Pelodiscus sinensis: one gene and its partner. The protein of the gene in region 2 interacts with the protein of the main gene of each other region in a pairwise test. Links are inferred from orthologs where the notes say so. Each region holds a gene or a part of one and is shown on either strand. Other genes may lie near its edges. The genes, in order: AP4M1 and USP47.

What was found.
Region 1: the proteins of USP47 (region 2) and AP4M1 interact in binary tests that used the Homo sapiens proteins (3 or more experiments, as listed by UniProt). The two-hybrid records come from large-scale screens. The link is inferred for Pelodiscus sinensis from reciprocal best matches to the Homo sapiens genes USP47 and AP4M1.

What each region holds. Positions count from the first base shown.
Region 1 is NC_134734.1:7,468,486-7,484,213, reverse strand, and holds the start of AP4M1 (AP-4 complex subunit mu-1), read right to left. Parts: upstream 5,616-15,728; 5' UTR 5,489-5,615; intron 5,317-5,488; 5' UTR 5,308-5,316; coding exon 5,250-5,307; intron 4,523-5,249; coding exon 4,428-4,522; intron 4,259-4,427; coding exon 4,152-4,258; intron 4,017-4,151; coding exon 3,920-4,016; intron 3,790-3,919; coding exon 3,679-3,789; intron 2,878-3,678; coding exon 2,797-2,877; intron 2,673-2,796; coding exon 2,610-2,672; intron 2,349-2,609; coding exon 2,282-2,348; intron 2,097-2,281; coding exon 2,043-2,096; intron 1,966-2,042; coding exon 1,859-1,965; intron 947-1,858; coding exon 855-946; intron 783-854; coding exon 738-782; intron 545-737; coding exon 494-544; intron 388-493; coding exon 270-387; intron 1-269. Other genes in the region: DNA replication licensing factor MCM7, read left to right, coding at 5,839-5,869, 5,967-6,043, 6,599-6,763, 6,867-6,991, 7,126-7,306, 8,481-8,618, 10,354-10,503, 10,584-10,698 and 7 more. UniProt on the Homo sapiens protein: Component of the adaptor protein complex 4 (AP-4). Adaptor protein complexes are vesicle coat components involved both in vesicle formation and cargo selection. They control the vesicular transport of proteins in different trafficking pathways.
Region 2 is NC_134714.1:103,008,671-103,024,874, forward strand, and holds the start of USP47 (ubiquitin carboxyl-terminal hydrolase 47), read right to left. Parts: upstream 8,248-16,204; 5' UTR 8,103-8,247; coding exon 8,064-8,102; intron 1-8,063. UniProt on the Homo sapiens protein: Ubiquitin-specific protease that specifically deubiquitinates monoubiquitinated DNA polymerase beta (POLB), stabilizing POLB thereby playing a role in base-excision repair (BER). Acts as a regulator of cell growth and genome integrity.

The DNA of each region.
Region 1 (15,728 bases), on a different chromosome or scaffold from region 2:
GATATGAGAGGGAGAGGTGTTACTGCCTAGGGCAGAGCATGGCAGGGGGGAAGTTGGCTTTCCTCAAACCTCACACAGGCAAGAGAGCCCCAGCCTGGTCTTTCATCCCCCAGCTCCACTGGCGAACTGTGCTGAGCTGCCCCTTGATTAATCGTGGAGGGCAGGGGCTGGCCTGCTCCTCTCCTAGTGCAGGGATATGTTGCTCTGTCCCTGCCCAGTGTGGCAGTGCATCTCAGCCACTAAGCTACCCTGCCCCAGGCCAGATTTACCTTGAAGAGGGCGGAGAGCTGGGAGCCACCCTGGAAGCGTGGGATCACCCAGCGGATGGCCTTTGTGCTGGGCTGCAGCTCTGCTGTCTGCTCAGGGCTGCTCAGCTCCTGGGACAGGCTGGGAGAGAGGAGAGGTGAGGCTGGCCCTTGGTCTGCCAGCTGCTGGGGAAAGGGCTGCCCCAAAGCTACCCCCTTTGTACTAGAAAGAAGCCTGCATCACCCACCTGATGACCCCCTTTGGCACTGGCAGCTGGACTCGCACGTTCAGGGCCTGGCTGGAGGCAAGAGCAAGCAGTGAAGAGGGGCCAGTAGGGCAGGGTGGACATGTGGCAGCATCTTTCCGGCCTGGGACCCCAGACTCAGAGCAGCGGGGATCAATAGAGGGCAGGGACCCATTTTGTACCTGAACCAGTGAGCATGTGGCTCCACCCCACTCCCAGGGGGTCTCTCCCCTTGTGGGGCTCCTACCTTTTGGGAGCCAGGTCACAGCGGAGCTTGAGGTAGACACAGAGCCTGCAGGGAGATGGGAACGGTGAGAGTCGGCAGCTGCTAGGACCGGGCTGAGAGGCTGCAGCCCTTACTCACCTGCCCAAGGGGTCTCGCTCCAGCATGGGGAAGAGGTGGAAGGGCAGGGCTGAGGGGATGTCGTCTGAGAGCTGGTACTGCATCACTGGAAGCTGGGGGAGCAGACAGTGGATTAGGCTTGTGGTATATCACCCTAGACAGCACCCGTCTGTTGGAATAAGCTTCACAATTTGCAGATTGCCTCGCTTATTCCAAGTCTAAATCGAAAGAGCTTTTTTTGAAATTTGAAACGAGGGTTATGGGGACACTGGAATAGCAGGTGCTTTTAAAAACGTGTCATTGCTGTTTCGGGATTCTGCTGGTATCCTGAAAGAGCAACGCAGTCCAGACATACCCCATCAGCTGGGGGAGCCGAGACAGGGTCAGGCAAATAGTGTCACTGGGAGCTGGGGAGAGAGGCTGTTAGTGTGTCACTCAAAGAGGTGAGGGAACAGGATCCTGGGGGAGCAGAGATGTAGCGTGACAGGGTGGATCAGGCCCCAAGGTCCCCTCCTGGAGGCCTTTTGGGGCAACGTATGGCAGAACCAAAAGGCAAGAAGCCAGGCAGCAGTTCATGTTTCTGGAGCCTTCAAGGTATGCCGACGGGGAGATTGGCTGGCTGAAAGAGCAGCAGCACTGCGGACAGCTCCGTGTGGAGAACTACTGAGGACTCTGAGATAAAGCCATGAGGGAAGGGCAGAGATGCTGCCTCCAGGAAGGAAACCCCTGGGGGCACCCTTCTCTCTGAGTGGGGAATAGACTCAGAGGAGCTCCACGGAGGGCACAGAGTTGGGCCCCGGTAGATGTGTATCCCAGAAGGGGTTTGTTGATTCATACACAGCGTGTGAGACTTGGCTAGAGGGCTGAGGCTTTTGAAATTGCAGAGTGCAGGTCGTGTACTCGGCCAGCTCGTGTTCGATGTGGTCAGGTTGGTGGAGCTGAAGGCACAGATGGATGGGGCCAGACTGGGCGTCCCATGGTCTTGCACCAGGAGCAGAGGCCCAGCTGCTATGCACAGGGCTCACCTCCCCTTGGCTGGGGTTGACCTTTAGGACACGGGCACTCTCAAACTCATCAAGCTTAACGGAGCTGTGGAAGGCGCATTCGTCCACGCGAACAGCGGTGCCGTAGCCTGCAGTGAGCAAAGGTCGGGGAGTCAGAATGAGGGGGCCCTGTGAGGCGGAATAGAGACTGGCAGTGGCTACTCACCTCGCAACTCCGACTTCCCCACACAGAACTCTTCTGTCAGCCCAATGCGCATCTCTACAGGGAGGGGAGAGAGTATTAAGGGACTCAGCCAGGGGAGAGCTGCCCAGGCCGGGGCCAGTCGCCGTTGCCCCCAGCCCTGCTTTCTCCCGCTCACAATGGGTATATCTACTCAGCAATGAAACACCAGGGTCTGGCCCACGTGAGCTGCTTCAGGCTGTGGGGCTGCAGCCATTACTCACCGGGACAGCTAGGCAAATAGCTCTTGAGGCGGATTTCTCCCTGGATGTCGACCTTCATGGGGGTACCCTGGGGAGAACATGGGGTGAGGCCCAGACAATGACACGGGTCGGAGCAGGTTCCCTTGGGAGGCGGTGCACGATGGGAGGGCTGCTCAGGCTCTGTGGTGGGGAAGCTGTGGGGCTAAATTTTGTGCCTTAGGGGGTTGAAGGGATCCCCGCCCTGGGCCTGGTTAGAAGCTCAGCCTTTGCTCTGACCCTGTAAATTGATGGAGGGGCTGTGTGTCAGGATGCAAAACCCCCGGCTCACACCTTCCCCTCTCTGACTCACATTGGCAGCAATGACGACTGTCAGCCTCTCCACTATGTCCAAAAACACCTCGTTCCTCGCACCCTGCAGGGAGATAGCCAGTGCTCATGTGACTGCTGCCAGCAGGCCCTCTCCATCCCAGACAGAGGGGCCCGCTCCATGCTAGAGCAGGAAGGGGGGGGACAACATACTGCTGGGGGTGTCTCACCTGGTCCCCATGGGGGGGCAGAACAGGGCGGCTGGTGGCTGAGCTCGGAGCCACTTTACTTTGCTGTGTCTCCGCACCAAACTGAAACCAAAGGGGAGAAGGTCGGAGTAGGGCCCAGGGATGGTGCCTTGATGGGCTCCCAGGGGTTGGGGTTGGGGATACTAGGTACCCCATGACCGGATCTCTCTCAGGGTAACATTTTCCCCAGAGGAGCCGATGGCTAAGGGGGCTGAGGGAATATGGGGGGGCGGGGAGGAATTTGGAGGGCTCGTGAGGCTGCTGCTATTCAGGGGTGCTGGGAGAGAGGAGATCGGAGCTTAGAGTGGCATCATCAGGCCATTGACCGGGGGTGGGGGCTGGGGGGATTTGGGGCTGGGTTTATCAGGGCGACATTGCCCAGGGGATGCAGTGGGGATTTGGGACTCACCAGGCTGTTGCTGCCTGGGAGGGCACAGTGGGAGGTGGGGACACGGGTGGGATTTGGGGGAGTTCTCTAGGCTGATGCTGCCTGGGAAGGTGCTGAAGGGGAGGAAACATGGGGGTGGGGGGAAATCTGGGGGGCCAAGTTCACCAGGCTGATGCTACCCAGGGGCCCAGATCCAGGAAAAGCTGCCCACAGGACACTGGGAGATTTGGTGACGGAGCTCACCAAGTTGACACTGCCCAAAGAGTGCTGGTGGGAAGGAGACATGGGATGGTTCAGGGGCTAGATTCGCTAAGCCAACACTGCCCAGGCAGCACTGGGGGAGCAGGGGATTTGGGGACGTTCACTGGGCGAGCATGGTGTTTTTAAGGGGCTCACAGGTCAGATGTTGCCTGGACACTGGGGGGGAACTGGACTCACCAGGCCGACAGTGGGAGGGGGGGGAAAACTGGACTCACCAGGCCAACACTGCCCAGGTCCAGCAGGCTGAAGGCCTTGCTGAGCACTGGCTCCATCTGGATGAAGTTGCGCAATACATCAGGTGCTGTGGTCTGGACATAGCCATAGTCCTATGGGGGGAGAGTACAGAGTGAGGGGGAGAGCCCACCTGTGCCCCTGCCACTGGCACAGGAGATTAGAGCTGCAAGCTTCCCTGCAGCAGTGCCCCAGGTAAGGTGCTCCTCAGCAGTGCTTGCCTACCAGCATTTCGTCCAACATCTCATAGATGAGGGCGAAGTTGAGGCTAATGGTTTTCTCACTGAGAGCACCACAATAATCATGGATCAGCGTCACCAGCCTGTGGGAAAGGAGAGAGACAGGTGAGGGCAGGGTTGGCTCAGTGCATCCCCTCCCGCTGTGTGTCCCCATCCTCTGAGCTCCACCATATCCCTGTCTACCCCCTGTGCCCTGGGGTTACACCTGCCCCTCTCACCGGTTGAGAAACTCAATGATGGTGAAAGGGGAGATATTGTGCCCTGTCGTAGCCACGAAGTAGAGGCCGGCGTGACGCACGTGGACGAAGTGCAGCCCCTCATGCACCTGTAGCGGAAACACAAGCAGAGTTATATGGACCCTCTCCCTCACCAGGGGGTACCCCTCTCTCCCACATACTTGCCCAGATGCTCTCCACTTCTGTTATCGTAGAGATGCTTCATCCCTATAGTGATGCCCCCACATTACTGCAGAGCTGTGGAACCCACCCCTTTACCATAAAGACAGGTGCCTGGTCCCTAGGCAGGGCTGTGATCTTCCTATAGAAAGTGTCCGTCAGGTCCATGCTGCTCCCTGCTGCCTCACCACGCACTGGGAGGGGGTTAAAGAGAAATCATCCCATCTGGGCAGTATGGTTGAGAGCTCCCCCTCTCCCCCCGTAGTGCCCAGTTAGAAAGCCAGATGTGGAGGTGGTGCCCAGTTGGGGTTCCCCCGGGGGCCAAGATGATCTGCATGGGACACTTGAGGAGCTATGCAAGGGGGCATTTGGAAGGGGGAGGTCTAGGGGGCTATATCAGGGTATTTGGGGAGATGGCCTTGGAGGGGTCCAGAGCACTAGAGGCAGGAGGATTTGGTGTAGGGATGTTAGATGTTTAATAACCATGTAACCACACCAAATCTTGGTGGTTACACAATTATTCGATAGTCCCTGGAGTGCAGCCAGTGTGCTTCTGGTCCCACTCCCAGGGAGCTCCCTGCCACTCCATGCTGCTGCCTCTGTGTTTGTGGGAGGCAGCAAGAGGGCAAGGCAGCTCCACGAAGCCAGCACATGCAGGGAGCTTAAAAGGCAGCCCCCTGTGCATATCGGCTCTCGCTTCACCTTGGGGTGTGGGGCGGGGGGTTCTATGGGATCCAGATCGAAAGAGGGCAAGCGGGGGGAGGGTGTGTAGTTGTTAGGACTTACCGATAAAGCCAGGCTTATCGGTTAATCGCTTACACAACTGTATGCTAACATCCCTCATTTGGGGAGCTGGGGGACGTGGAGGAGTCCGGGGTGCTAGGACGGTGTTTGGGGAGCCCGCAGGGCAGGGTAGGATACGGTCCTTGTAGACGAGTCTGTCTCCCTTGGAGGAGAGAATGAAAATCTGAGACAGCATCTCGGAGGCCTGGGGTGGGGGGAAAGAGAGCGTGAGTGGGGCCCTGCCCTGAAACCTGGCCCCGCCCCCTCCCGGAAACCCCGTCCCCTGCCCGACACCCTCCGCCCCTGCCAGGAAACCCCGCTCTCATTTCGAATCCCAGCCCCTGCTACCGGCTCACCCTGCGCCCCCCGCCCATTACCTCCCTCTTCTCCCCGACTTCGCGGCTCCCTTAAGAGGAGGCGGGGCCTGGGGGAATCTCACCGGCTCTGCTCGAACCCGGCTGTTGCGAGGGGACTTTGCTGTCACGTGATGGAGCCGTGAGGGCGGGGCTTACAGGCTCAGCTCGGCCCGAGCGCCGATTTGCGGGCTGGGCGGATCACGTGGCCCCGGGGTGGGACCAGGTCCTGATTGGCCGGGGCCAGACACGTGGTATGGTTCTGGTTTCGCGCCACTTTTGCTTGTGGCGACAGCCGGGAGGAACCTGAGGAGGGGTCGGTCGGGAGCGGCCTGCGCTGACTCCGGCGGCGACCCGTAGGCCCCGTCCCCGCCATGGCGCCCAAGGACTACGCGGCGGAGAAAGGTGGTTACTGCCGCGCGGCCGGGACGGGGGGGCGGAGGGTCGGGGCCGCGCTGGGGGCAGGGCTGGACTGACACTCTCCCCCCCCCCCCCCCCCCAGGGAAGGTGCAGCGTTTCCTGGAGCAGTTCTGCCGCCCCGGCCCGCATGGCAAGGAGTTCCCCTACCGGGACCGGCTGGTGAGACTCAACGTCCCCCCTCGCCCTGGGGCGCTGCGCCGAGCGCCAGAAGCAACAGCCGCCGGCTGCGCGCTGCCCCTCCCCTCCCAGCGCATTTTCGAGCAGGGCGGCCCGGCTCAGTCCTGGCTTGCGCTGGGTCCAGGGCCTGCCCCCGCTGAGGCGCTGCGAAGTGTATTAGGAGCGGGGTGGGCGGGCAGCCCGGCTCCCTTCCGCTCAGCCCTCCTCCTGCGCAGGGGCGCAACTGCCTTAGCAGCGGCAGCAGCATAGAGCGACAGGAAGCCAGTCGTGAGGGGCGCTGGCTCGTCTTATGGACCAGCTCCCACCTGGCACCCCACAAAGCTACCGCTGATACAGCAGCCGTGTGGAGTGGCGGGGGCTTCTCGGGAGTGAGGCTGGGGTTAGAGAATGGTTGACTAAGCGATAAGAATTCATGAGCTTACCCAACTATTCAATTAACTGATATTTATCATCCCTACTTCCCTCTGCACCCATGTTTCCCACTTCTGGCGGCTCCGGGCCTCACCCCCAGCTGCTCAACCTGTGCTTGCCCCGCAGGTAGCCCTGGCTCAGAGGGAGCAGGTGGCTCTGTATGTGGAGCTGGATGATCTGGCAGAGGAGGACCCTGAGTTAGTGGATGCTGTGTGCGAGAATGCAAAGCGCTACACCCGCCTCTTTGCCGACGCTGTGCACGAGCTGCTACCCCTTCACAGGCAGCATGAGGTAAAGGAGAGGGGTGGTGAGGGAGGAGGGATACTGGTGGGTGGAAGGAGCTTTGGGAGAGTGGCTGAGGCACCTTGACAGAGTCCCTGTTTACCCACTCCAGGTAGTGCACAAGGATGCCCTGGACGTGTACATTGAGCACCGGCTGATGCTGGAGCAGCGTGGCCACGATACAGCAGAGACACGCAGACCCCAAAACCAGTACCCCCCAGAGCTGCTGCGCCGCTTGTGAGTGCATGTGAGGGGAGGTGTGGGGGTCCTGTTATTCCTGGCTCTTTTAAATCTCCCCTGCCCCCAACCAGGTTCTCCTCCCCCTGGCCCCTGCTATGGCTCTAACTCGTGGGCCTTCTCTTCTGTTCCAGTGAGCTCTACTTCAAGGCACCGTCAAGCTCCAAGGCCCGCGTGATCCGGGACGTGAAAGCCGACTGCATTGGCAAACTGGTCACCGTGCGCGGCATCGTCACCCGTGTCACTGAGGTCAAGCCCATGATGGTGGTGGCTACTTACAGCTGTGATCAGTGTGGAGCGGAGACCTACCAGCCAGTGAGTGGAAGGGGCTGGGCTGAGCTGTCCTGCCGGCTGGCTGTCAGCTCAGGGCTGAAAATAAGACCAACCATACTGGGTCAGTCTAAAGGTCCATCTAGACCACTAGCCTGTTTTTTATCAGTGGCCAAAGCGGGTGCTTCAGAGGGAATGAACAGAACAGGTAACCATTCAGTGATGATCCATTCCCAGCTTCTGGCACACAAGCTAGGAACACCATTCTTGCCCATCCTGCCTCATAGCCATCGATGGACCTGTTCTCCATGAATTTATTTAGCTGTTTGAACCGTGTTATAGTGTTGGACATAACCTCTGGCAAAGAGGTCCACAGGTTGACTTTGTGTTGTGCGTGGAAATATTTCCTTTGGATTGTTTTAAGCCTGCTACCTATGAATTTAATTTGATGAATGGCTGAGCTGTTGTCACCAGTCCACAGGACTATACCCCTCTGTTGTGCCAGGGACCCCATTGATGTGACAGACCCCCTAGGTGTTTCTTGAGCCAGCCACATGGACTTATGTCTCCAGAGACTAGTCCCACCCTGTGCTCCAGTCAGCCAGTGAAACAGGTTTACACCTGGGAGAGTCTTGTCTCGCCCTGCAGGAGCCTGTTCACTACGGCGCCCAGGCAGTCAACACAGCCTGGGAAGTCGGGAGCGGGGGGGGGGACATGCCCCTCCTGCCCTGGCAGAGCCAGCCCTAGTGTGGGGGCTGGAGTGGTGAGATCCCGCTTAATGTTTACGTGGTTAACCAACTAGGTTAATCTAATGCTTAACCATTTAACCGATTAGCTGGGATTTTAGATCCCTACCTCACGCTTTCTTGGCCTGTGTTCTGTAGCTGGGGTCTCTGCTTGCTTCCCTGCCGAGGGGTGACGAGATCTCTAGTCACTCGACTGCACCTTGTCTTGTGGGCCCCTGGTGGGTTGAGGTCTATTTCATCCAGCTCCTTCAGCACCCATGTCAGTTACTTGGTCCTCAGAACACATTTGTTGCCCTTCCTTTACTGGGCAGCTAGGAAACATGGGGAAACTGAGACTTATTGAGATCAGCAAATGACGAACGTCCCTACTTTGTCATGCCCCCAGCTGGGCACGAGGGAGCAGCTGTGTTCCCTGGTTAGGTGTGGTGGAGAGGGGTGGCTGGTTGATTCAGACCCTCTTCCCACCCCTGCAGATCCAGGCCCCAACCTTCATGCCGCTGATCATGTGCCCGAGCCAGGAGTGCCAGACCAACCGCTCCGGGGGGCGTCTCTATCTGCAGAGCCGTGGCTCCAAGTTCATCAAGTTCCAGGAGCTAAAGATGCAGGAGCATGTGAGTGGGGGGCAAATGGGAGGGATGAGTTTGGGGATCCCAAAGACCGATCTGGGTGCTCCTGATGACAGCCCTCCCATTTGGTTATGAGGTTGTCACAGATTTGTAGGTTACGCCCAAGCTTGGACTGTATAGTCCTCAGGGGAACCCCTCCAGTGCAATAGACCCTTCTTGGGAATCCACTTTCCTTGGGAGTTAAGCCGCTCTGTCTCCTAGGACCTAGGGATGTGGCATGCTGACAGGTCTCCTGTTTTTTCATTGATAACTGTTCGGCTGCATGCGTTAGTGCATTTGCTCCCTCTGTTTACTGTATAGATCTCACACAATTAGTCAACGCAGCAGACTGATTGCCCCCAAAGACCACAAAATCAGATAAGGATCCAAGGTGCCTGGCCAGGTTTGTTGTAGATGAGGCACAGTCCTAGCTTCCCTGGACCAAAGAGCCTGCAGTGAGGCTAACACATGTATGCCCATTATAGTGGACAGTGCCAGGGATGAGACACTTCTCCCTAGGTCAGACAAAGACAACTCTTTGGGATTCACTTTTATATGCAGGTACAAACACATTCCACATCACTCTTGATGTATCAGGTTGCCACCTCCTGTAGCTTAGCTACCACCCTTTATCTCATTCAATTACTATCTATTATGCTGGTGGTCCTGAGTGAGTCAGTATTCCTGTTGTTTGTGGGGAGGGGGCTGGTATCGAGATATTTCTTAACAAGGTGTTCTGTTGTGACCACACTTGAACGTGCTTAGAGCTTTTGCCTAGTAGTGTTTTGCAGTATTAGCTCTGTTCTTGTCAACTTCTGTGAGCAAGGCCTGCCTCTTGCTCGCAGCTTGTCTTCATTTTATATTAGCAAAGTCTTAACGGTTGTGTCTGGGCCTTAGGCCTCACACCCGGCCTGTGATATGATGGCCTGTAACAAACCCACATCTTAGATTCTGGGTGAGGAAACTGCTCCATTCCGGCCGGGGCAGTCTCCAGCCCTACTGGGACCTCACCTCTCTGAGCCCCCAGCATTTATCTGGACCCCAGGACCTACACTCGCAGGGGGGCTAGTGCAGCCCTGTTCTCAGACCGGAGTGACTCTCCGCCAGCGTCACACAGGAGGGTTCATTGAGCACTGAACCCAGCACAGGAACTTCAGGCCTGTAGGCCTGGCCCCCTCAGCCCAACACGTCTGAGTCTCCCCTGCAGCCAGGTGGGCTCTGCCTGCTCCCCCTGCCCAGTTCAGCAGCCCCCTCCTTCCAGCCCAGCCCCCCCAAATCCCTCCCCAGCAGCCCCTCCCTTGGCCTCTGTCTTCTGCCCAGGTAACCAGGGTTGCCTGTCCCCCCGCCCACCCTTCCCTGCCTGCCCTCTCCTCCATCCTTTGTCCCCCTGGCTGGGACCAGCTGTATAAGTCACTGGGCTCCTCTCCCCACAGCCCATTGGCCTCTCACTGGCCCTGGCCCAGCTGTGCCAGCCAAGCTGGGTCTCCTGGTCACCAGTCGGTGGGGTCTCCAGTTCTGTGCTGGTCCCTGGAACAACAAACTCTCCTTTTCTTTCCCCCACCCCCCTCACCCTCCATTGAACCAGTAATAGCCAGGGACACGGAGTGCTTCCATTTCCCCGCATGCAACCCCACTGAAACCACCATCAATCCACCACGTCATCATGGGGGCTTTCTGCTAGAGCAGGGGCTGGTCTCGAGGGGTGGCTAGATCAGGGCCAATGTGTATCTTTCTCATACAGAGTGACCAGGTGCCTGTGGGGCATCTCCCCCGCTCAATCAGCGTGACTGTGCATGGCGAGAACACACGGCTGGCTCAGCCTGGCGACCACGTCAGCATCACTGGTGTCTTCCTGCCCCTGCTGAGAACCGGTTTCCGGCAGATGGCCCAGGTGAGGGGTGTGGGGTTAATGAAAGTGGTGGTGGGGCTTGGTGGGCAGGGCCCATGGAGTGACACCCCTGTTCCCTCTAGGGGCTGCTCTCTGAGACCTACCTGGAGGCACATCACATTGCGAAAATGAACAAGAGCGAGGAGGATGAGCTGGGGGCAGAGGAGCTGACAGAGGATGAGCTGCGCCAAATCACAGGTGATTCCCTCCATCTCCCCCCGACCTGCCTCATCTGCTCCCACCCCAGCCATCCTGGGGCAGCTGTGACACCCCCTCCCCCCCCATGGCCTGCGGCGGCCAGCCAAATGCAGGGCAGCTGGGTATCACTGAGGTGTGAGGGAGGCCCTGCACCCCCATCCGCGACTCTCCACTGGCAGCTAGAAGAGGTTTATTAGTCGACAGGGACACAGACTTGTCAGCACAGGAACCAGAAATGGCCAGCACCATCCATCCTGGGGAGAGGGGCCTCAGATCAAGAGCCCTGCCCCGACCCTCCAGCCAGTGCCCCAGCCAGACCCCTCTGCGCTCACTGGCAAATGGTGTCATGTGGTCAAACCCTGCCCTGTGGCTCAAATCATAAAGCGCTTGTGCCACAATGTACCTGCAGGAGGCTGAGGGAGCTTCTCTGAATGGAAGTCACACCCAAAGTTGTCATCTTGAGAAACTGAGGCACTCGCACGGGGTTACTATAGGACAGTAGAAATCAGATGCAACATAATGAGGGGAATAAAATCCCCACTTTGTTGCACTGGGACTCCCCCCATAGCCCTCCTCCATCCCAGCCCTGCAGCACCTCCTGCCAACTCTCCGGGCATGCTAATTGCAGAGCAGCTGATAAAAGTGGTACCTTGGTCCCTGCTGACCTCCCCTGTCCACCCTGCCAGCTGGCTCACCTCCTCACTTGAGCCCCGGTGAGTGTGGGATGGAGCCAGGGCTACATTCAGGCTCCGTAGCCCCACTGATATCCTTCCTGCTGCAGAGGAGGATTTCTACGAGAAGCTGGCTGCCTCCATCGCCCCTGAGATTTATGGGCATGAGGATGTGAAGAAGGCGCTGCTGCTGCTGCTGGTGGGGGGTGTGGACCGTAACCCCCGTGGCATGAAGATTCGTGGTAAGTTGGGGAGAGGCTGGAGTGGTAGGGGGTGGGGGGTCAGGCTTGGGAGAGGTCTCTGATGCTGATCTGTCTGCTTCCAGGGAACATTAACATCTGCTTGATGGGAGACCCCGGTGTGGCCAAGTCCCAGCTGCTTTCTTATATTGATCGCCTGGCACCCCGTAGTGAGTAGCACCTTCTGAGGGGCCTAGCATGTGCATCCTCCAGGGGCAGTCTGGCAACTGGGAGGGTAAGAGTAGGCGGGTCCCTATCTCCTCCTGGGTTACTATCCCATGTAGTGCCATGTGCCCCCTTTCTCCCCAGGGTTAGGGTATCCCCCTGACTACCCTTCTCCCCTGGTCAGTACCCTACTGCCTGCCCCTCCCGATGGGGCACCCTTCTGACTGCCCCTCCTTGCAGGCCAGTACACCACGGGGCGGGGCTCATCTGGCGTGGGGCTGACCGCAGCCGTGCTGCGGGACCCAGTGACTGGCGAATTGGCCCTGGAGGGCGGGGCACTGGTACTGGCCGACCAGGGCGTGTGCTGCATTGACGAATTTGACAAGATGCTGGAGAGTGACCGTACAGCCATTCACGAGGTGATGGAGCAGCAGAGCATCTCCATTGCCAAGGCAGGCGTGCTGGCGACCCTCAATGCCCGCTGCGCCATCCTGGCTGCTGCCAACCCCGCCTATGGGCGCTACAACCCTCGCCGCAGCCTGGAGCAGAACGTGCAGCTCCCGGCCGCCCTGCTCTCCCGCTTTGACCTGCTCTGGCTCATCCAGGACCGGCCCGACCGTGACAACGACCTGCGGTGAGAACTGGATGGGTGCTGGGCAGGGACGGGGGTGGGCCCAAGGCAGCGGCACTGATGCCTCTCACCCCTGCAGCCTAGCCCAGCACATCACCTACGTGCACCAGCACAGCCGCCAGCCGCCCTGCGCCTTCCAGCAGCTGGACATGAAGCTCATGAGGTAAGTGCTCACCTGGCCTGGGGACAGAAGAGGCAGCTGGGAGCCCACATACCTGGGTTCTCTCCATAGCTCTGGGAAGAGAATAGTGGTTGGTGGGTTAGAGAAGGGGGCTGGGAGCCAGGACTCCTGGGTTCTCTCCTTGGCTCTGGCAGAGGGCTGGGAGCCATGTTTGCCCCAAGTATTCTGCCTGGGAGACAGATTTCCCCCCCCCCCCACCACATATGACTCCCCTTCCCCAGGCGCTACATCAACATGTGCAAGCGGAAGCAGCCAGCTGTGCCAGAGGCGCTCGCCGATTACATCACAGCTGCCTATGTGGAGATGCGCAAGGAGGCCTGGGCCAGCAAAGACACTACCTACACGTCGGCCCGCACGCTGCTGGGCATCCTGCGCCTGGCTAGCGCCTTGGTGAGCGGCTGCCTGGATGGGGACGGGCGGGGGGGCTGCAAGGCTAAAGTGCTCACAGTACAGGTAGCTGGCATCTGGGTGCTGCCTGCGGGGCTGGGCCTTCTGGCTGCGGGTGGGGACAGAGTGTGCAGTGTACAGGGGCTGGCCCAAGCAGGAACTGCTCTGCCTGTTGCTAGCCAGGCCTGGAGGCTGCCAAGTGCTGTTCGCTTAGGTTCCAAATTCAGTCGTCCGCTGCCAAGTTAGTGCTTCTTGAGCCCTGTGATGAGGACACCTGTCCCCTTGTGGTAGATCCAGGCCCACAGGCTGCTGTATGGTTTGTCCCATAGCAGGGCAGTGGGGATGCAGCCTCGTCGGGCTGAGTGATGGGGGGTGGGTAGGAAGGGGTGTTGTATGGGCTGGTGTGGCAGACAGGGTCACAAGGGTTGCTAGTGCCTGTTTGATGGGTCGGGCATCAGGAAGGGGCAGGCCCTGGCTCAGGGGCGCAGCTGGTGCCTTGCCCTGACCCTCCCCTGCTGCCCTCTGCAGGCCCGGCTGAGGCTGGTGGATGTGGTGGAGAAGGAGGATGTGAACGAGGCCATGCGGCTCATGGAGATGTCTAAGGACTCACTACTCGGTGACAGGGGCCAGCAAGCCAGGTGAGGCAGGGGGCCTGGATCTTGGGCCCCACATGCTAGCAGGGCAGGGCTCCTCACATGGCCCCGCTTCCTGCTGGTGGGCAGGTGCTTTGAGATGTGGGGCATGTTCTGGTGGTTCCCCCTGCCCCAAGACAGCAGTGTGGGGTACCTTGCAGCATGGGGGCAGTTCCTAGGGGCTGGCCTGGGATCTGTTGGCAGGATGGGATGGGAGCATCATGTTGGAGGAGCACTTTTTGTGACTGACACTGGGGCTATGGGCAGGATCAATAGATATGGAAGTACCAGGTTCTGGCATGGTGTTGGGGGGGGCTTCCCTGAGGACAGTGTGGGCTTGAGGCAGCACTGATCCTTCTCCTCACCCCCCTAGGACTCAGCGGCCTGCTGACCTGATCTTTGCGGCGGTGCGGGAGCTGGCGGGCGGGGCAGGCAGGCATGCAGTGCCCTATGCTGAGGCGGAACAGCGCTGCATCTCCAGGGGCTTCACTCCTGCCCAGTTTCAGGCTGCGCTGGACGAGTATGAGGAGCTCAATGTCTGGCAGGTGAACCAGGCCCGCACCCGCATCACCTTTATCTGAACTGGCAGTGCTGGGCGCTCGGCCTGGCCAGCTGCATCCCTGGCACGGTGCACAACCCGCAGGCATAGTTCTGGGCCACAACGTGCCCAGGGGCCTCCTGTCTGTGCAACACTTTGAGCTTTTACCTTGCCAATAAAGCGGTTTGTGATACAGCGTGACTGATGGAGGGGAGGGGCAGGCAGAGCAGGGGCCTTGCTGCTGTCTCTCCCCCGTCCCTGGGGACACCCTACGCCTTACGTCCTGTGAGCTCCACTGGGAGGGGCTGCGAACTCAATGGGCCCTGCTCTGCTGCCCCATCACCCATCTCCCTGCTAGTGGCTGAGCCCAACCCTTCTGCACGGTGGAGCCTTAGGCAAACAGCGCTTTGTGCTGCCAAAGGGTGGGCAGCCAGCAGGCCTTGTACCCCTATCCAGTCAACTGTGACTTCTGGGCCCAATTCTGGTTGTCCCCACAAAGAACCCTTCCTTGGGTGTGACCCCCTTCTTGAGGACCACATGCTCAAGTTAAGCTGCAGGTTCCTCCACCCCTGGGATTGCACCTCACTGGCCTTCAGTGCACCTGGCTCTTGCTTGTCCCTCTTTGTTCTACTCTGCCCTAGTCATTTAATGCCTGATGCTCGGTCTATGGGGTGCAGTGCATCCCACTGCTGCCACCCATCACTGAAGCGTAGGGAGTCACCATCTGCAGCCAGATGTGAGACTCAGCTGGTGGCTACAAGAGGTGGTTTGAGGCAGCAGGGACACAGTGTGGAGCAGACTTGTCAGCACAGGAACTAGAAGCAGCCAGCATGATCCATCCTGGGGAGAGGGGGCTCAGAGCCAAGGGCTCTGCCCCTATCTCTGTACCTCAAGGTAACTGAGTCTGACTTAGGGACCAGCCTGGTAGGTGGGGGCTAAGAATCTTATCTGTCTTTTGTTCTCGTGGCAAAAGGCCCTACTGGGCTCGGACAGGTTGGAGCTAGGTTAGCTTCCCCATCTAGGCATTGGTTCAGTGTCCCAGCAACTGGGTTATGATCGAACAGTAGAACTCACATGCAACAGAGCAAAGTGACTGCAAGTCCTCGCTGTCCTAGCCATGCATGGAGGGGGTTTGTTTGCAGAGAGGGATAGTGATGTGAGGAAATTGCTCCCTGCACAGGGGCCTAGAGCTGAGCAACCAACTGCTGGCCTGGGCTGTAGGATATTCCCCTGAGGCTAAGTGTGGGGTGTGGGCATGGGCATCTCACTTCTTCCTTCTGCCTCTGGGCTCAGCTCGGAGCGAAATACACCAGCTAACAATGTTAGGAATCACTAGGAAAGGGATAGATAAGACAATATTATAATGCCCGTTTAAGTCCATGGAACACCTGCACCATCTAAAAAAGAAACATTAGAATTGGAAAGTACCTAGAAGGGTGACAAATGATCAGGGGGATGGAACAGCTTCCATATGATAGATTAAATAACTGGAACTGCTAATTTAGAAGAGATGACGAAGGGAGGATATCAGTGGGAGTCTGTTACTGTCTTGCTCTCCCTTTTCTCATGGCATCCCAGGACTCTAA
Region 2 (16,204 bases):
TTGAGGTCATTACCATTTCTGGCAATAGTATCATTAGAACAGCCAAGTTCAAGTGCAACACCAAGGAAGGTATAGGTGTCGTAAGTATTGATGAAGTTGTGACTAAGCGTTCCCACATGATTGGAAAAACTCAGTTGGGGGGGGGGGGGGGAAGCTGGCAGCAGGGGTGCTAGAAATGACCTCCACTGGTCTGGAAAAATCCCTCATCCTGGGCCTATAGGTCACATTACAAAACAAAAATTAATATAAACACTTCCACATATATGCAACTTAAAAAACTATTGTCCCATGCTAGTACATAACAGGGATCTCAACATGTTAACAACTACACGATTTACTGATAAGCCTGGACTTTTCTAAGAACCACCATGCTCCCTTCTCCTGGACTTAGTTATTCATTAAGCATATTGCCAGGCATGCAGGCTAGTTTGGCAACTGGCAAGTAAGTCTCTTGGCCACAGCCTGCTTCTGGCACCCCAGCCCTTTCCTACCCCAACTCAACATACCCAAACCCTCTGTCCCCCTCTTACACCTATACCTGCTCCCTGATCTGGCACCCTCACTCTCCTCACACAGATCACAATCCTCTCCTACCCTGGGTCACACCCCAAACCTCTGAACTCCAGTCCCCTGCCCTAGGTCACAACCACCTGCTTCATCCCAACTCCCTCCCAGACTCCAGTCTCCCTCCTGCACCCCAGTCCCTTACCCCATGCTTCCTTTTGCACCCAACCTCCATTTCAGACCCTGCATCTCCTCCATTAATATCATGGAAGAGTGCGGCCCTTGACCACTTTCCAAAATCTTGAACTGGCCCCCGTCAAATATTATTGACCACCCCCTGACAAACAGACCTCACCAGAAGAAGTCATAAGAAAATATTTGTTTGCTCAAGGGACAACAGAAATAAGCATTTTAAAAAAAAAAACCCTATGTGCATGACCCTAAAATTAACAATTCAACATTCTGACCAGCCTTATAGGAATAACTCTTGCATGCATATATTTCCATTTCCAAGTAACTTTCAAATCTCTAGGACCTTTAATTGTACTTTTAGTTATTTTAAAGAATTTTCAGCTGCTTTCCTGAAACAAGAAAAAGTAGTGTGTCACTGCATCTTCACAATGTCTCAATTGCCACTGCCAACAGTACCACTGAATGAAGAGTGTGGCTAGTTTTATAAACTGAAATTGCACAGGGACAGGATTAATCATTACACTAATAAGGCTATAGCATCCTTCCATTGTTTAGGCCCTCCTGCTCAGGCAGGAGGCAGAGCCAGCCCAGGTGAAGGAAGGAGGAGAGTGAGATTGCTCACATAGGCCTGCCGGAGGGGGAGAAGCAAGGTCTGTTTGCCCTCTGCTTGATCCTTCATTCTACACATTCTTCCAAGAATCCGTGGCTCTTGAGCCGCACGCGGATCTTTTATTAAAGAAATGCAGCTCCTGCTGGTTCTGAACCACACGCCTGGACTGCTCACGGCCGGCCACTCTGAGCACGTACCCCAGTGCCTGGAGGGAGAAGTGCAAGTGGCTGTGGCCGCAGCAGCATCAGCAGCTCTGGGACCCAGGCATTAGGTTAGTGTGGGGGGGGGGAAGCATGCCCGGCTCTGGGAGAGGGGAGGAGGATTGGGTTAGAGCAGGGGGGCTGAGGGTGCCTAGTTCTGGGGGAGAGGAGCAGGACTGGGTTAGAGTGGGGGAGGAGGGAGAGGCTGAAGCACTTTAAACTCAAAGTCTTCATGGATGCAGAACAAGGCAGCCAACACAGATGTCATTTAAACTCCAGGGCAAAAAAAAAAAAAAAAAAAAAAAAAAGAATCAGCATGTACCTGGTTTTCACTGTTTCTTTAAAGAAAATTCAAAGGCTATTGTTTGCTAGGCTGAAGCAATTAGACTTTAGTTTTTGTCTGAAATATCCTGTAATGTTATTTTTATCACTACATTTTGTGTACTATATCGATATATAAAAATAAATATATACATCGCTCTTTGCACTCTATCCACCACTATTTTGGCTCTTCATCTCTAACTGGTTGGCCACCCCAAGCTAGTAGGTAGTAAAAAAGAGGCAGCACATGTAAAGCAAAATCTTAACACACATGTATTTTAGATCAAGTTACACTGATCAGATATCCTCTACCAGTATTATAAAGTATTCCACAAATTTGGACAGAAATAATATAAATAAAACACACTGGGCACACAGGGACTAACAGTTCTCCCACACATACAAACTCCAAATCCACATTCTTCTATACCAGGGGTTGGCAACCTATGGCTGGCAAGCCACGTTTGTCTCACTAGGGAGCAGGCCATGGCTCTTCTGGAGCCCCAGCAGCTTTCACCACAGCATGAAGCCAGCACTGGCACTACAGCCTTAATCTCTCCTCCCACCCCCTGGCCACCTCTGCAAGACTAAAATGCCAGCACCAGCTTCCAGCAGGGGAGCCTTCCTGCCAGATCCAGCAGGTGAGAAACAAGTGGTGCAAAAAATGCCTCCGTGTGCTGCTTTTTCTTCCCCTGGCATGTGGAAAACCAGGAACCAAAAATAGCTCCATGCACGCTATCATTTTTCCCCCCAGGAAACACTGGCGGCTTCCTTCCAGCTCATGGCAGCAGGGGGAGGCCGTGTTCCACACAGCACAAAAGCAAGTAAGTGGCCTCCCCAACCTTCATGCCCAGATCCTGCACCCCCCCCTTACTCATTCCCCTTGGCCAGACACCCTACTCCCAGCCTACTCCTGCAACCTATATCCCACCCAGACCACACCCCTCCTATACCCCACCTCCTGCCCAGATCCTGAACCTCTATCTCTATCCCATTCAATGGCAGCCCTGTCCCACACACTTAACCCCTCATTTTTTGCACCACTCCAGAGCCTTGGGGGGGCCCACTATAGCCACTAACCCTGGAACTCCAGAAGAGTAAATCGGATCTGAGACCCTGAACCTCAGTCCTCCCTAACCCTCCCCCATCATGGGACTGGAGCACCAGAGGAGTGAAGCATCACAGTTGGGGGCCACATCAGTGAGGGTTAGGGTGGTTTAGAGGGATTTCTTTTGCTTCTCACTTGTGTGGTCCCCAACTGATTTTTCTGTGGCCCCTGACCCAAAAAAGGGGGAGGAGTTTCATTGTATGTAAGAGAGTACTACGATTGCTCTGAACTCCAGTATAAACAAGGAGAAAAACCTGTTGAGAGTCTATGGGTTAAGTTTAAAGGAGCAAACAACAGCAGTGATGTTGTGGTTGGTGTCTGCTACAGGTCACCGAATCAGGTGGATGAGGTAGATGAGGCTTTCTTCAGACAACTGAGCGAAGCTTCCAGATCGCAGGCCCTGGTTCTCATGGGGAACTTTAATCACCCTGACATCTGTTGGGAAACTTATGCGGCAGTACACAGGCAATCCAGGAAGTTTTTGGAGAATATTGGTGATAACTTCTTGACACAAGTGCTGAAGGATCCGACCAGGGGCCGTGCACAGCTTGACCTTCTGCTCACAAACAGGGAGGAACTAATAGGGGAAGTGGACGTGGGTGACAACCTGGGAAGCAGTGATCATGAGATGGTAGATTTCAGGATCCTGACCAAAGGAAGAAAAGAGAGTAGTAAAATACACACCTTGGACTTGAAAAAAGCAGATTTTGACTCCCTCAGAGATCTGATGAGCAGAATCCCCTGGGATGTTAACATAAAGGGGAAAGGAGTCCAGGACAGCTGGCAGTATTTTAAAGAAGCCTTACTGAAGGCACAGAAAGAAACCATCCCGACGCGTAGCAAGAGAGGCAAACATGGTAGGATACCAGATTGGCTTACAGGGGAAATCCTTGGTGAACCTTAAGCACAAAAAGGAAGCTTACAAAAAGTGGAAACTTGGACAAATGACCAGGGAGCAGTTTAAAGGTATAGCTCGAGAATGCCAGGGGGTTATCAGGAAGGCGAAAGCGCAAATGGAATTGCGACTGGCTAAGGATGTGAAGGATAACATGAAAGGTTTCTACAGGCATGTTAACAAGAAGAAGGTGATCAGAGACTGTGTGCGGATGAAGGAGGTAACCTAGTGACAGATGATGTGGGGAAAGCTCAAGTACTTAATTCACGGAGAAGGTCGGCTCCTGGACTGCTGTGCTAAGTGACGCAAGATGGGATGAAGATGGACAGCCCATGGTGGGTAAAGAACAGGTTAGGAACTAGTTAGAAAAGCTAAACGTACATAAATCCATGGGTCTGGACTTAGTGCATCCGAGGGTACTGAGAGAGTTGGCAAATGTCATTGAGGAGCCTTTGGCTATCATCTTTGAAAAGTCGTGGAGATCGGGAGAAATCCCGGATGATTGGAAAAAGGCAAATGTAGTGCCCATCTTCAAAAAAGGGAAGAAGGACGATCCAGGGAACTATAGGCCGGTCAGTCTTACCTTGGTTCCTGGAAAAATCATGGAAGGGATCCTTAAGGAATCCCTTTTGAGGCACTTGGATGAGAGGAAAGTAATTAGGAATAGTTAGCATGGATTCACAAAGGGCAAGTCATGCCTGACCAATCTGATTAGCTTCTATGATGAGGTAACTGGCTCGGTGGACATGGGAAGTCAGTGGATGTGATATTCCTTGACTTTAGCAAGGCTTTTGATACGGTCTCCCACAATATTCTTGCCAGCAAGTTAAGGGAATGTGGATTGGATAAATGGACGGTAAGATGGATAGAAAGCTGGCTAGAAGGCTGGGCCCAGCAGGTAATGATCAATGGCTCGATGTCAGGATGGCGGTCAGTTTTTAGCAGAGTGCCCCAAGGTTCGGTTCTAGGACCGGTTTTGTTCAATATCTTTATTAATGATCTGGATGAGGGGATGGATTGCCCCCTCAGCAAGTTTGCGGATGACACTAAGCTGGGGGGAGAGGTAGATACGCTTAAGGGCAGAGATAAGGTCCAGAATGACTTAGACAAATTGGAGGACTGGGCCACAAGAAATCTGATGAGTTTCAACAAGGACAAGTGTAGAGTCCTGCACTTGGGACGGAAGAATCCCAAGCATAGTTACAAGCTGGGGACTAACCGGTTAAGTAGTAGTTCTGCAGAAAAGGACCTGGGGGTTACAGTGGATGAGAAGCTGGATACGAGTCAACAGTGTGCCCTTGTAGCCAAGAAGGCTAATGGCATATTAGGTTGCATTAGAGGAGCATTGCCAGCAGATCCAGAGATGTCATTATTCCCCTTTATTCGGCTTTGGTGAGGCCATATCTGGAGTATTGTGTCCAGTTCTGGGCCCCCCACTACAAAAAGGATGTGGACGCATTGGAGAGGGTCCAGCGGAGGGCAACCAAAATGATTAGGGGGCTGGAGCATATGACTTATGAGGGGAGGCTAAGAGATTTGGGTCTGTTTAGTCTGCAGAAGCGAAGAGTGAGGGGGGATTTGATAGCAGCCTTCAACTTCCTGAAGGGAGGTTCCAAAGAGGATGGAGAGAGGCTGTTCTCAGTAGTGACAGATGGTAGAACAAGGAGCAATGGTCTCAAGTTGTGGTGGGAGAGGTCCAGGTTGGACATTAGGAAAAACTATTTCACTAGGAGGGTGGTGAAGCACTAGAAAGGGTTACCTAGGGAAGTAGTGGAGTCTCCATCCCTAGAGGTGTTTAAGTCTTGGCTTGACAAAGCCTTGGCTGGGTTGATTAAGTTGGGATTGGTCCTGCCTAGAGCAGGGGACTGGACTTGATGACCTTCTGAGGTCTCTTCCAGTTCTATGATTCTATGAAAACACCCGTAAGGAATGGCCACAATAAGATTCTTCTGTTGAAGTGGGTTTTATCCACACAAGCTCATGACCCTATATAGGTGTCACAGGACTACTCCACCTCTTTATTTCTGTTACCACCACAAGTGCAACTGGCTTCTCCTGTATGTCTCTATTTTCTATTTTCCACCCACCTGCACTGACTATACCCCCTTCTGCCTTGTGGTGGTGTTTTTGTGTGTTTTTTAATCCAAATACTTTAATTTTAAGTTTTAGAAATGTGTCTCCAAAATACAGCTTTCTATCTTATTTTATTATATATCCTTCACTTATGATACAGTACTGCTCCCACACACTCACAATATCTATTTACATGTCTATAAAACTTAGGAACAGCTATACTTAGGGATGTTAAATTTGGTTTAATCAACTGGTTGATGGATTTTCCATCAATTAGTTGATAAGCAAGGGAGCCAGCCACACCTGAGGAGTTAACCCCACTGTGCCTTTGCTTTTTAAATATATTTCAAGCCTGCCAGCTCTTAATACATTTAAAAATCAGCACAGTGGGGGGGAGCAGAGGAGGGACCCAGCACTAGCTGGGACAGCTAATTCCCTGCTCGCGCTGGGTTCCCTTCCCTACCCTGCACTTTATCATTTTACATGTATTAAGAGCAGGACCCAGTGGAGCTGGGAATCAGCTGTCCCAGCTCATGCAGGTCACCCCTGGCTGTGCTTCTGATTTTTAAACAAACTAAGAGCCAACAGTCTGTTATCACATTTAAAAAGCAGAGGTGCAGCATCTGGTACTGGATGTGAGCCAGAAATCAGCTGATTCCCAGCTCCTGCCTACTCCCCTGCCCTCCCCACCCCCCAGAGATAGTGTTGGGGGAACCAGTTTTTAAGCCAGCTCTGAGAGGCAGCAAGGGGGGGGGGGAGAGAAGAGCAGGGGAGTAGAGGGGAGAAGCAACTAGTCAAGCTTTTGATTATCTTATAGTCAACTAGTCACATATCCCTAGCTGTAGTACAGTCGTTTTCTGGAATTAAGGTCTCAAAATGACAAGTACTGTACAAACCAGTAATAAGACGACAGGTACATAATCTAGATATGTAACAAGACAGAACAGACTGAGAGAAGTAAATCCAGGTTGGAAAGCTAAGTAACATTTATTAATACAAAAATGTAAAATCACTAAAAAATTATGGAGCGTATTAATTTTCCTGCTAGATCCACAATTCTCAAAAGAATTTGCTGAAAATCTTAACGTTAATTCCTTAAAAAGAGCATTACTATCACTTTGTTCATCATTTAAAATCTGTTCCCCTCCTCTTTCAATCTTGAACAATATTTTTGACACAAACTTTACATAAGAACATATCAGGGCAAAAGGGCAAAGGTGCCATTCCCCTACACTCTGTCCCTCATCCTTAACCTCTTACAGACACCATTTCCTTCCCTCCCCACTGCTAAAGCGATAGCAACCTTTTCCTGCAAACAGGAACACCATGGGCTACAAAACCAATTCTCTTCTCAGGACCCCAGCCCACCATGAACACTCCTGTCCTTCTCCACCATCGTCAGATAACATCATAGAGGTTATATAGCCTCCTCTGAAATCCACACGTGAGCCCACGCTCTCCAAACCTCTTCCCTCCAGTCTCCACCCCTTCTTCACTCAAAGAGCTTCTCCCCTCCTCAAGAGTCTCAGACCGAATCCCTCATACAACCCCAACTCCTTCAAAGCCCACAGACAAGGACCTGCTCTCCACTCAAGAGTCGTGAGGACAATTTCTCTTCCTACACAGCTCGTTAAGGGGTGTCCAGCTAACTTCGTACAGGCATGCACCGTCTAGCACCCGCCCGCCCAATACCCCAGGCTCCCAGGAGCCACAGAGCCAGGATGACCCTTTCACATCTCCCCGCTCCCGTCAGACAAGGGGCCTCCCTGCCCAGGCTTCGCCTCTTCCTCCTTTACACACGCCGAGGGCACCCCGTTCACCCAGACCCCACAAAAACAAGGCCTCCGCCGGGCTCGCGCAAACAGCGGCCGCCACCGGCCCCGCTCCCCGCAGAAACCCGCATGCCGGAACATGGGCAGGGGCCTGCCGCAACCGCCCCCGCCCGCCCGCCCGCCCGCCATTCGCACTTGGACAGCAGAGCCCAGCCCCAGCCCCCTCTGGGACCCACGCGCGCTCCGGTCTCACACGCCAACTGGGACTCCCTGCCGGCCGCCGCTCATGAGAGAGAGGCCCCGCCGCACCACCTCGGGCCCGACCCGGAACGAGGCTTCCCGCGGCGTGCTTGTCAGGAGCCTCCCCCCTGCCCCGCACGGGCCCCACCTCTTTGGGCACGAGCCGATTCTCCTCACTGGGCACCATGGCGGGCGCGCGGCGCTGGGCCCCGGAGTCGTCAGCGGAGGCCGGAGGCGGCGAAGGGACGTGAGTGGCTCATCCTCCCCCCGCAGTGCCCAGCACTAACACCCCACCTCCGCGAGGGCAACGCGCGGTCCCCCCACCCTCCACCAACGCCAGCCAATGAGAAAATGGCCGCCCGTAAGCCTCGCGAGACAATTTGGCCAGGGCGCGTGCCGCAGCCCGCTCTCGCCCCTTACCGGAGGGAGGGACTTAAAGCGCCGCGTTTTAGAAACCTGCCTCCAGGGCTGGGGGTGCTCACGTGACTTACGTAACACGCGCCCGCGTGACGGGGTAGAAGTGCAACGGAAGGGTAAAGTGCTTGGGTATCGCTACTCTCATGCTGTTCTCAGCAGCCTTCTTGCGCCCGCCCGCCCGCCCCTTGAGCTGAGGGGCGCCGTGTGCGAGGCTGGATGCCTGTGTCCTTGCGCGGCGGCGCCCCCCCCCCAGCCTGAAGGGCTTTTTGTACCTTCTAGCGCAAGACTGGTCTCTCAGAGAGCGCCACGTGCCGTTCAAGCCAGCGTGTGCGGCTTGCAGGGCCAAGATATAACGCGCTGCCGCGTGTATTTGGCGCCTCTGCGGAGGACAGGCTTGCTGCTTTGGGGCAGGGAACCTTGTGCCCAACTAGCCTCATGAGTTGAATAGCAACTGCTTTGAGTCCTACGCCCAAGTTAATATCCCTGTATTACTTCCTCTTTGTTACATTTACATGCCAGCTTTATCCTCCCTGCCTCACTACTTAGACAGTTTTCGTTGTCCTGTGTCTGTTACGAAATACATAGTAACCATTTAAAATAAATTAATTCTGTGGGAGGACTATTATTCCTGAATTATTTGTGCTCCCATAACTCCATCTGCTTTACTCCATTGACCTTGATGGTGATTTTAGATGCTCAAGGCAAACAAGATCAGAACATTTTGTCCACAAATGATTAGAATCATAGAGCTGGAATAGACTTCAGACAGTCATCAAGTCCAGCCCCCTGCCCAATGCAGGACCAATCCCAACTAAATCAACCCAGCCAGGACTTTGTCAAACCGAGATTTAAAAACCTCTAAGGATGGAGATTCCACCACTTCCGTACATAACCCACCCCAGTGTTTCACCACCCTCCTAGTGAAATAGTTTTTCCTAATATCCAACCTAGACCTCTCCCACTGTAACTTGAGACCATTGCTCCTTGTTCTGCCATCGGTCACTATTGTGAACAACCTTCCTCCATCCTCTTTGCAACCTCCCTTCAGGAAGTTGAAGGCTGCTATCAAATCCCCCCTCACTCTTCTCTTCTGCAGTCTAAACAAACCCAAATCCCTCAGCCTCTCCTCATAGGTCATGCGCTCCAGCCCCCTAATGATTTTGGTCGCCCTCCGCTGGACCCTCTCACAATGTTCCAGACGTGGCTGCACCAGAGCCGAATAAAGGGGAATTATCACTTCTCTGGATCTGCTGGCAATGCTCCTCCTAATGCACCCTAATATGCCATTAGCCTTCTTGGCTACAAGGGCACACTGTTGACTCGTATCCAGCTTCTCATTCACTTTAATCCCCAGATCCTTTTCTGCAGAACTACTACTTAGCCATTCAGTCTCCAGCCTGTAACCATGCTTGGGATTCTTCCGTCCCAAGTGCAGGACTCTACACTTGTCTTTGTTGAACCTCATCAGATTTCTTTTGGCCCAATCCTCTAATCTGTCCAGGTCACTCTGGACCCTATCCCTGCCCTCCAGCGTATCTACCTCTCCCCCTAGCTTAGTGTCATCTGCATACTTGTTGAGGGTGCAGTCCATCCCCTCATCAGGTCATTAATAAAGATACTGAATAAAACCAGTCCAAGAACAGATCCATCTTACAATACATTTATCCAATCCATACTCCCTTAACTTGCTGACAAGAATATTGTGGGAGATCGTATAAAAAGCTTTGGTAAAGTCAAGGTATATCACATCCACTGACTTTCCCATATCCTCAGAGGCAGTTATAGATGTCTATAGATGTCTGTGAAGCGACCACTGTGGTCACAAGGGCCTGGAGTACCATGGAGAAGTACCCCTTATAGTTTATGAAATGGGCCACTCAATGCTCTGGGGCACTGATGGGGATGTGGGTCCCATCCACAGCTCCCCCACAGTTGGGGAACCCCAGGGCAGAGAAGACAGCCACAGCTGCATCCACGTCCCGCAGGTGGATGACCCTCTTGAGCAGGATATCACTGATGGCATGGACAACCTGCAGAAGGGCACACAGAAACACAGGGAATGCACCAAATGAGGCAGGGTAGGTGCATCAGCCCTTGGGGGATGTTCACACCTCTGTGATGCTCTCTGCCCCCAAACACACCAGGGCCCCCTCGCCCCAGAGGCCCCCCCCATACCAGCAGGCATGTGTGAGGGAGGGATGGACAAGCCCCTGGGTGACGGGGCTTCCCCCACTCCCTCCTCCCCCCCCCCCCCCCCCAGCCTGGAGTCTTCCCTTCCCCCGGGAAGTAGCAAGGCAGCATGGAGCAGCATCTGCCCACACTCCAAAATGGCCATGTGGGGCAGAGCAAGCACAGGGCCATCCCTGGCTCCATGGCACAGCAAACACAAGGCAAAAGTTGCCAAAGGCACTAGGCCATAAGGTGTGGTGTCCAAAGAGGCAGAGGGCAACCACAACTAGCACTGCTGCAGCTTTCAGTCCCTACAAGAGGTCCCAAAGCACACAGCAGGAGAGAAATGGCTGTCCATGGAGATCCCTTTAAGCATGCATCTCAAAAGAGCTCCAGCCCCCGCCCCCGGAAAGCCTTGGTGCCCTTTTGCCCTCTCCAAAGTAGTTCTGGGGGCAAATCTTTGCGCAAGAGCTTCCCACCAGTATGGATGCTCTCTTGCGCAAAAGCGCATGGCTTATGCAATGCATTTTGACCAGTGTGGATGCGCTCTTGCACAAGACCTTTTGTGCAAGAGTTCTTGCGCAAAACAGGTCTTGCGCAAGAAGTTTGCAATGTAGACATAGCCCAAGAGAGGAGAAACTGCTTTTGTAGTTCGTTAGCCATTCACAGTCTTTGTTTAATCCTAAAATGATAATGTCAAATTTGCAGATGAATTGTAGCTCTGCAGTTTCTCTTTGAAGTCTGTTTTTAAAGTTTTTTTGTTTCAGGACAGCTACTTTTACATCCCCTATTGTGTATCCAGGGAGATTGAAGTGTTCTCCTATAGGCTTTTGTATATTATCATTCCTGATATCTGATTTGTGTCTGTTTATTGTTTTACGTAGGGACTGTCCAGTTTGGCTGATGTATATGGCAGAGGGGCATTGCTGGCACATGATGGCATATATTACATTGGTAGATGTGCAGGTGAACAAGCCCGTGATGGTGTGGCTGATATGCTTAGGTCCTGTGATAGTGTCACTGGTGTAGATATGTGGGCAGATTTGGCACCGAGGTTTGTTGCAGGAATTAGTTACTGTGGTGTGGTGTATAGTTGCTGGTGAGAATATGCTTCAGGTTGGCGAGTTGTCTGTGGATGAGGACTGGCCTGCCTCCCAAGGTGTGTGAGAGTCAAGGATCATTGTCCAGGATGGGTTGTAGATCATATCTTCAGGATTTGTGCAAATTGAAAACTTAATGTTTTTGGACCAGTGGCCAAAGAGTCTCTGAGTCATTAAAAGCAAGGACTAGCCTAGACTGGAAGCCAGACAGAGAGAAAGAGAGAGAGAATAAGAGCAGGATAGGTGCTGATTGGATTGAAGAGCTAGAACAGTGAGAGAAGCTCCTGATAAAAGATAGTCAAGAAAGAAGTGTCTGGAAGTTTCTGAGGGTAGTGTGAGACTACCATTTTGTGATTAAACTTAAAAAACAACAAATGGTTTGGTAGCACTTTAAAGACTAACAAAACATGTAGATGGTATCATGAGCTTTCCTGAGCACAGCCCACTTCTTCAGATAGCCAGCTGATTAATGCCTCTGGTGTTCCTGTTTCCTTTGAGATTAAACCCTCTGGAGCTTGGGGAATTCTTCATATTATGAACTAGGGAACTGACATTCAAGAATGAGAATCTTGCATATTGTGAAATAATATATTTTAGTATATGGATACAAAAACTAGCACAAATCTGCCCCAATTGGATTCCCAGTAATCCTTTTAAAATACATTCTATCAGTTGGCCCCATTTATTGACAGAAATAACTATGAGCATCTAGCAATAGCCTATGTATGTTGAAACTCAGCTAATGGAATTAATATAATTGACTCCGCCATTTGTTGTTATCCAAACAGGAATTTGTTGTCTGCTCTTTAAGACTCTAGAATATAGCAATTAAATTATTCCAGTTGATCTTGAGGTCTTTTTTTTAAAGAGTTTTTGTTACTCATTGTTCTTAAAAGAGTCACAGTTCTATATAGTATAAGACCTCTGATTCAGGGTAGCACATCCTTACCTTGTCTTGTATAAGGATGCTTATAAGGCCAGAACTAAATTAGTAATCTCAGACAAGAAAAAAAAAGTTAGAGTTAAGTTTTTAAATATACATCTCAGATGCTAGGTGTTTAAACTCTGCCTCGACAGTCTAGTTATGAATAACACAATGTTGAAGCATTTGTCAGTCTTCACATAGTGACATCCTACTAGTCTTAATTCAGTCCTGAGCTCATTTAATGCTTAGAAAAGCTTTTTTGACCAACCAACCTAAAAACAAACAAATTCCAAATACAGTGTTAACATTCTGGATCTAATTGAGTCCTGTCATAAGTCAGGTGCAGCTTCTATTGAAAGAGTTTTAGGTTGTTTCTTTTCACCCCTGAAATTTTAAAAATGTTAAAATCATCGAAGCTATGTCACATCTTAATTGTGCATGGCTATCGTAAAAGAGGTCAACAATGTAGGCTGAGATTTCAAAAGGTTTCTACTGTGGTTAGATTCCCAATTCCCATTGAAATTTGATGGGAATTGGACACCTCTGTCTTTAGAAACGTGTCAAAACCTCAGCCTCAGGCTCATTTCTCTAATAATTAACCCTATGCTGCTTTCAAAGCTGAGGGTGGACTATTAGTAAAACAGTACATTGTGAAAGCCTAAATATCCTGCCCTGGGATGGAATTCTGCACCAAAGTATTAAAAATTCTGCTAACAAGATTTTAAACTTTTGCAAACTTCTGCAAATTTTATTGTATAATTTTATACAATTTTTATAATCACACCAGTTTCAAATATTTTTGTAATTTGTTTCAAAATATCTGTCAGCAAGCTGGGCTCCAACAGCCCTTAATGGTGCCAATATATCCACAGTCATTTCTTTGTGGGGAAAAAAGAAAGTCTGTGCACCAAACATTAATTTCTGCACAATTTTGCATTGTGCAGCGGCACAGAATTCCCCCAGGAGTGATATCATTGAGCACTGCTATGTATCACCCACATAGAAACTATGTTAAAAGAACATTACATGATAAAGTCAAATGTTCCAAAATTAGGAAAGGGCAAAGTCTATTATGCCTATGGCATTATCATCCTCATTTAGGGTGTGTGTACACAGCACAGTTATTTCAAAATAACAATGTGAGCATTTACCCAGCAATTCTATTATTTCGAAATAACAAATGGCTTATTCTGACTTCTGTAAACGTCATTCCACAAGGAATAATGCCTATTCCAAAATAGCTATTTCGGAACAGGGCATGTGTACACACAGCAGCTGGAGCTATTTTGAAATAACGGGCCTCCGGGAAATCCCACAAATGGCTTGTTGGCCCCTCTGTCCACATTCATCAGGACTCTATAGATCATCTTCCCATGCAGCCCTTAAAGTTGCAGACACAGGAGAAAGGGTTTGGGGCAGGAAGTTGGCCCTGATAGCCTTCAGCCACACCGCAGCTGCCAGAGCACGACATCGAGTCAGCATGAGTGACCCAAGAGCCCTCTCCCACTCCCAGGGAGCACTCCGACAGCTCCCCAGGAGTCTGCTAGGTGCTGAAAGAGTCACGCACCATCCTGGTCTGGGGCAGAGATCCTGGCCCTCATTGAGGTGGGAGGGGAGGAGGAAAACCTCCAGAATCTCCGCAACAAATGGTGCAGTGCCGAATTCTATGGCCGCATGGCTGACAGCCCAGCCTCAAAGGGCCACGTCCGGACTCAGGAGCAGGTCCAGATGAAAGTCAAAGAACTCTGACAGGCATATGCCAGGGCAAGGGAGTGCAACTCCTTCTCCAGGGCAGAACCCCACTCCTGCCCCTATTATCAAGACCTGCACCACATCCTGGGGGGTGGTGCAGTCCCTTCCCTACTCCTGGTGGTTGATTTATGGCTGGACATGCCTGTTGTCACCCACCCAGGGTGGGCAGAGTCGGTTGTGCAGAGGAGGAGGAGGATCCCGACGCAGCCAACACTCTCACCACACTGACACTTGAGACGATACCCCACTCCGCCCCTGGACGTGTCCCAGGCATTCTCCAAGGCTGGGGAAGGAACATCGGGTGAGTGACCTTAGTTAGCTGACACAGGGAGGAGGTGGCAGGCAGTGACGGGCTGAGGTGCGCTCTTCACTCAGCCTTCTCAGCCTGGGGATCACGCTGCAGTCTGTGCACATGGATGCATGTGCAGCATCAGTCTGGGCCACACAGCCCCAGGCAGCTGCACCACAGCACCCCTGGGCTCTTGCTCACAGGGTATGGGGAGGCCGCCCACACTCCTGACACCAGGGTGGGACACCTTCCCACCACAAGCCACCACTAGAAGGAAGCTGGGGACATGGCCACACACACATACTCAGGAGTGCTGCACGTGGCACACGGGCATGCCTGCATGTTCGAGGTAACACCTGCACCCAGGGACAGCGCTGCCAGGTCAGGACCATCAGCCACTCACACACCCTGACCCCCTCTCCTCCAGTGGCCAAAGACACAAGTCCTCTTCCCTGGAGACACCATCTTTGCACTGGAGCATGATCGCTACAGATAGACTCATCAGAGAATTTAGCTGTCAAGCTAACATCCCTATTGAGCATTTGCTGTCTAAATTTTTCTTACAATAGAGCCAATGGTAGACAGTTTTGCAACAAGGCAACAAAAGACTAAATGTTTGCTAAATGTTAATCCCTTTTTCAAAAGCATGGAAGTGCTTCTTCTTCTCAATTAAACATTAGTATGTTTAAAAAAAAGAGCAAAACAATGTATTTTCCTTACTGTAATTCTGGGAGCTGACTAAACTATTTTGGCTTATATTTAAAAAATGTCTTGGGGAAGACACCAGCTATAAAAACAATGCTGGACATTGTCTACACTAGGACATTTACCTACACAGTGTTTAAGCTCACTTAAAAAAATGTGCTGAACAGTGGGTCTATCTTCATTTGCAGTTAAAAAGTTTTCAACACAAGTTCAGAGGCATTGAGTGCTGACTGAGCAGTAATGGGTAACTGAGTACTCTTGTAAGACTGAGGGACAGAGTGTAAAATTATGTAGTTGGTTAACAGAATGTGCTGAGTCGTAAGTTGGCTCAGCACCTTGTCACTCAAACCCCACTAGTGTACATAAATTGGGACCTGACCGAAAGACAGGCAGTTGGCAGAGGGTATCCATTGACCGAGAAGAGACACAGCTGAGGGACTAACTGGGTGAAATAACCCCCATCAGTTGGGTTTATATAAGCTGGCAGGAATGCAGGGCTAAAGGGAAAAGTAGGCCGCTTGAAACAAGGCAAGGATAGGCAGATGCTATGGCACGTGCTAGGAGAAGGCTTGAAAGAAGGGGTGGGCATGAGAAAGGTGGGGATGGAGCAAGTCATGTGAGGACACAGCGGGGCAGGATAGGAATGGGGCAGAGAGTGGTGAGGGGGTGGGCATCAGGGAAAAAGAGGGCAAAGGAAGCAGGGGCAGTGATGGAAGGGGGAGGCACCAGGAGGGTGCAGGGCTAAGGGAAGGTGCAGGTGCCAGGGGATTCTGGGAGTGAAGTAGAAGGGCATATATCTGCAGTGGAGGGACCAGCACCAGAGGAGAGAGACAGGGCAGGTGTGTAGAGGGAGGTGTTAGAAGAGGGGTAGCTCACATGATCAGAGTGGGGATACTGGAGGAGTGGGCAGAGGAGGGAGAGAAGGGCTGGTG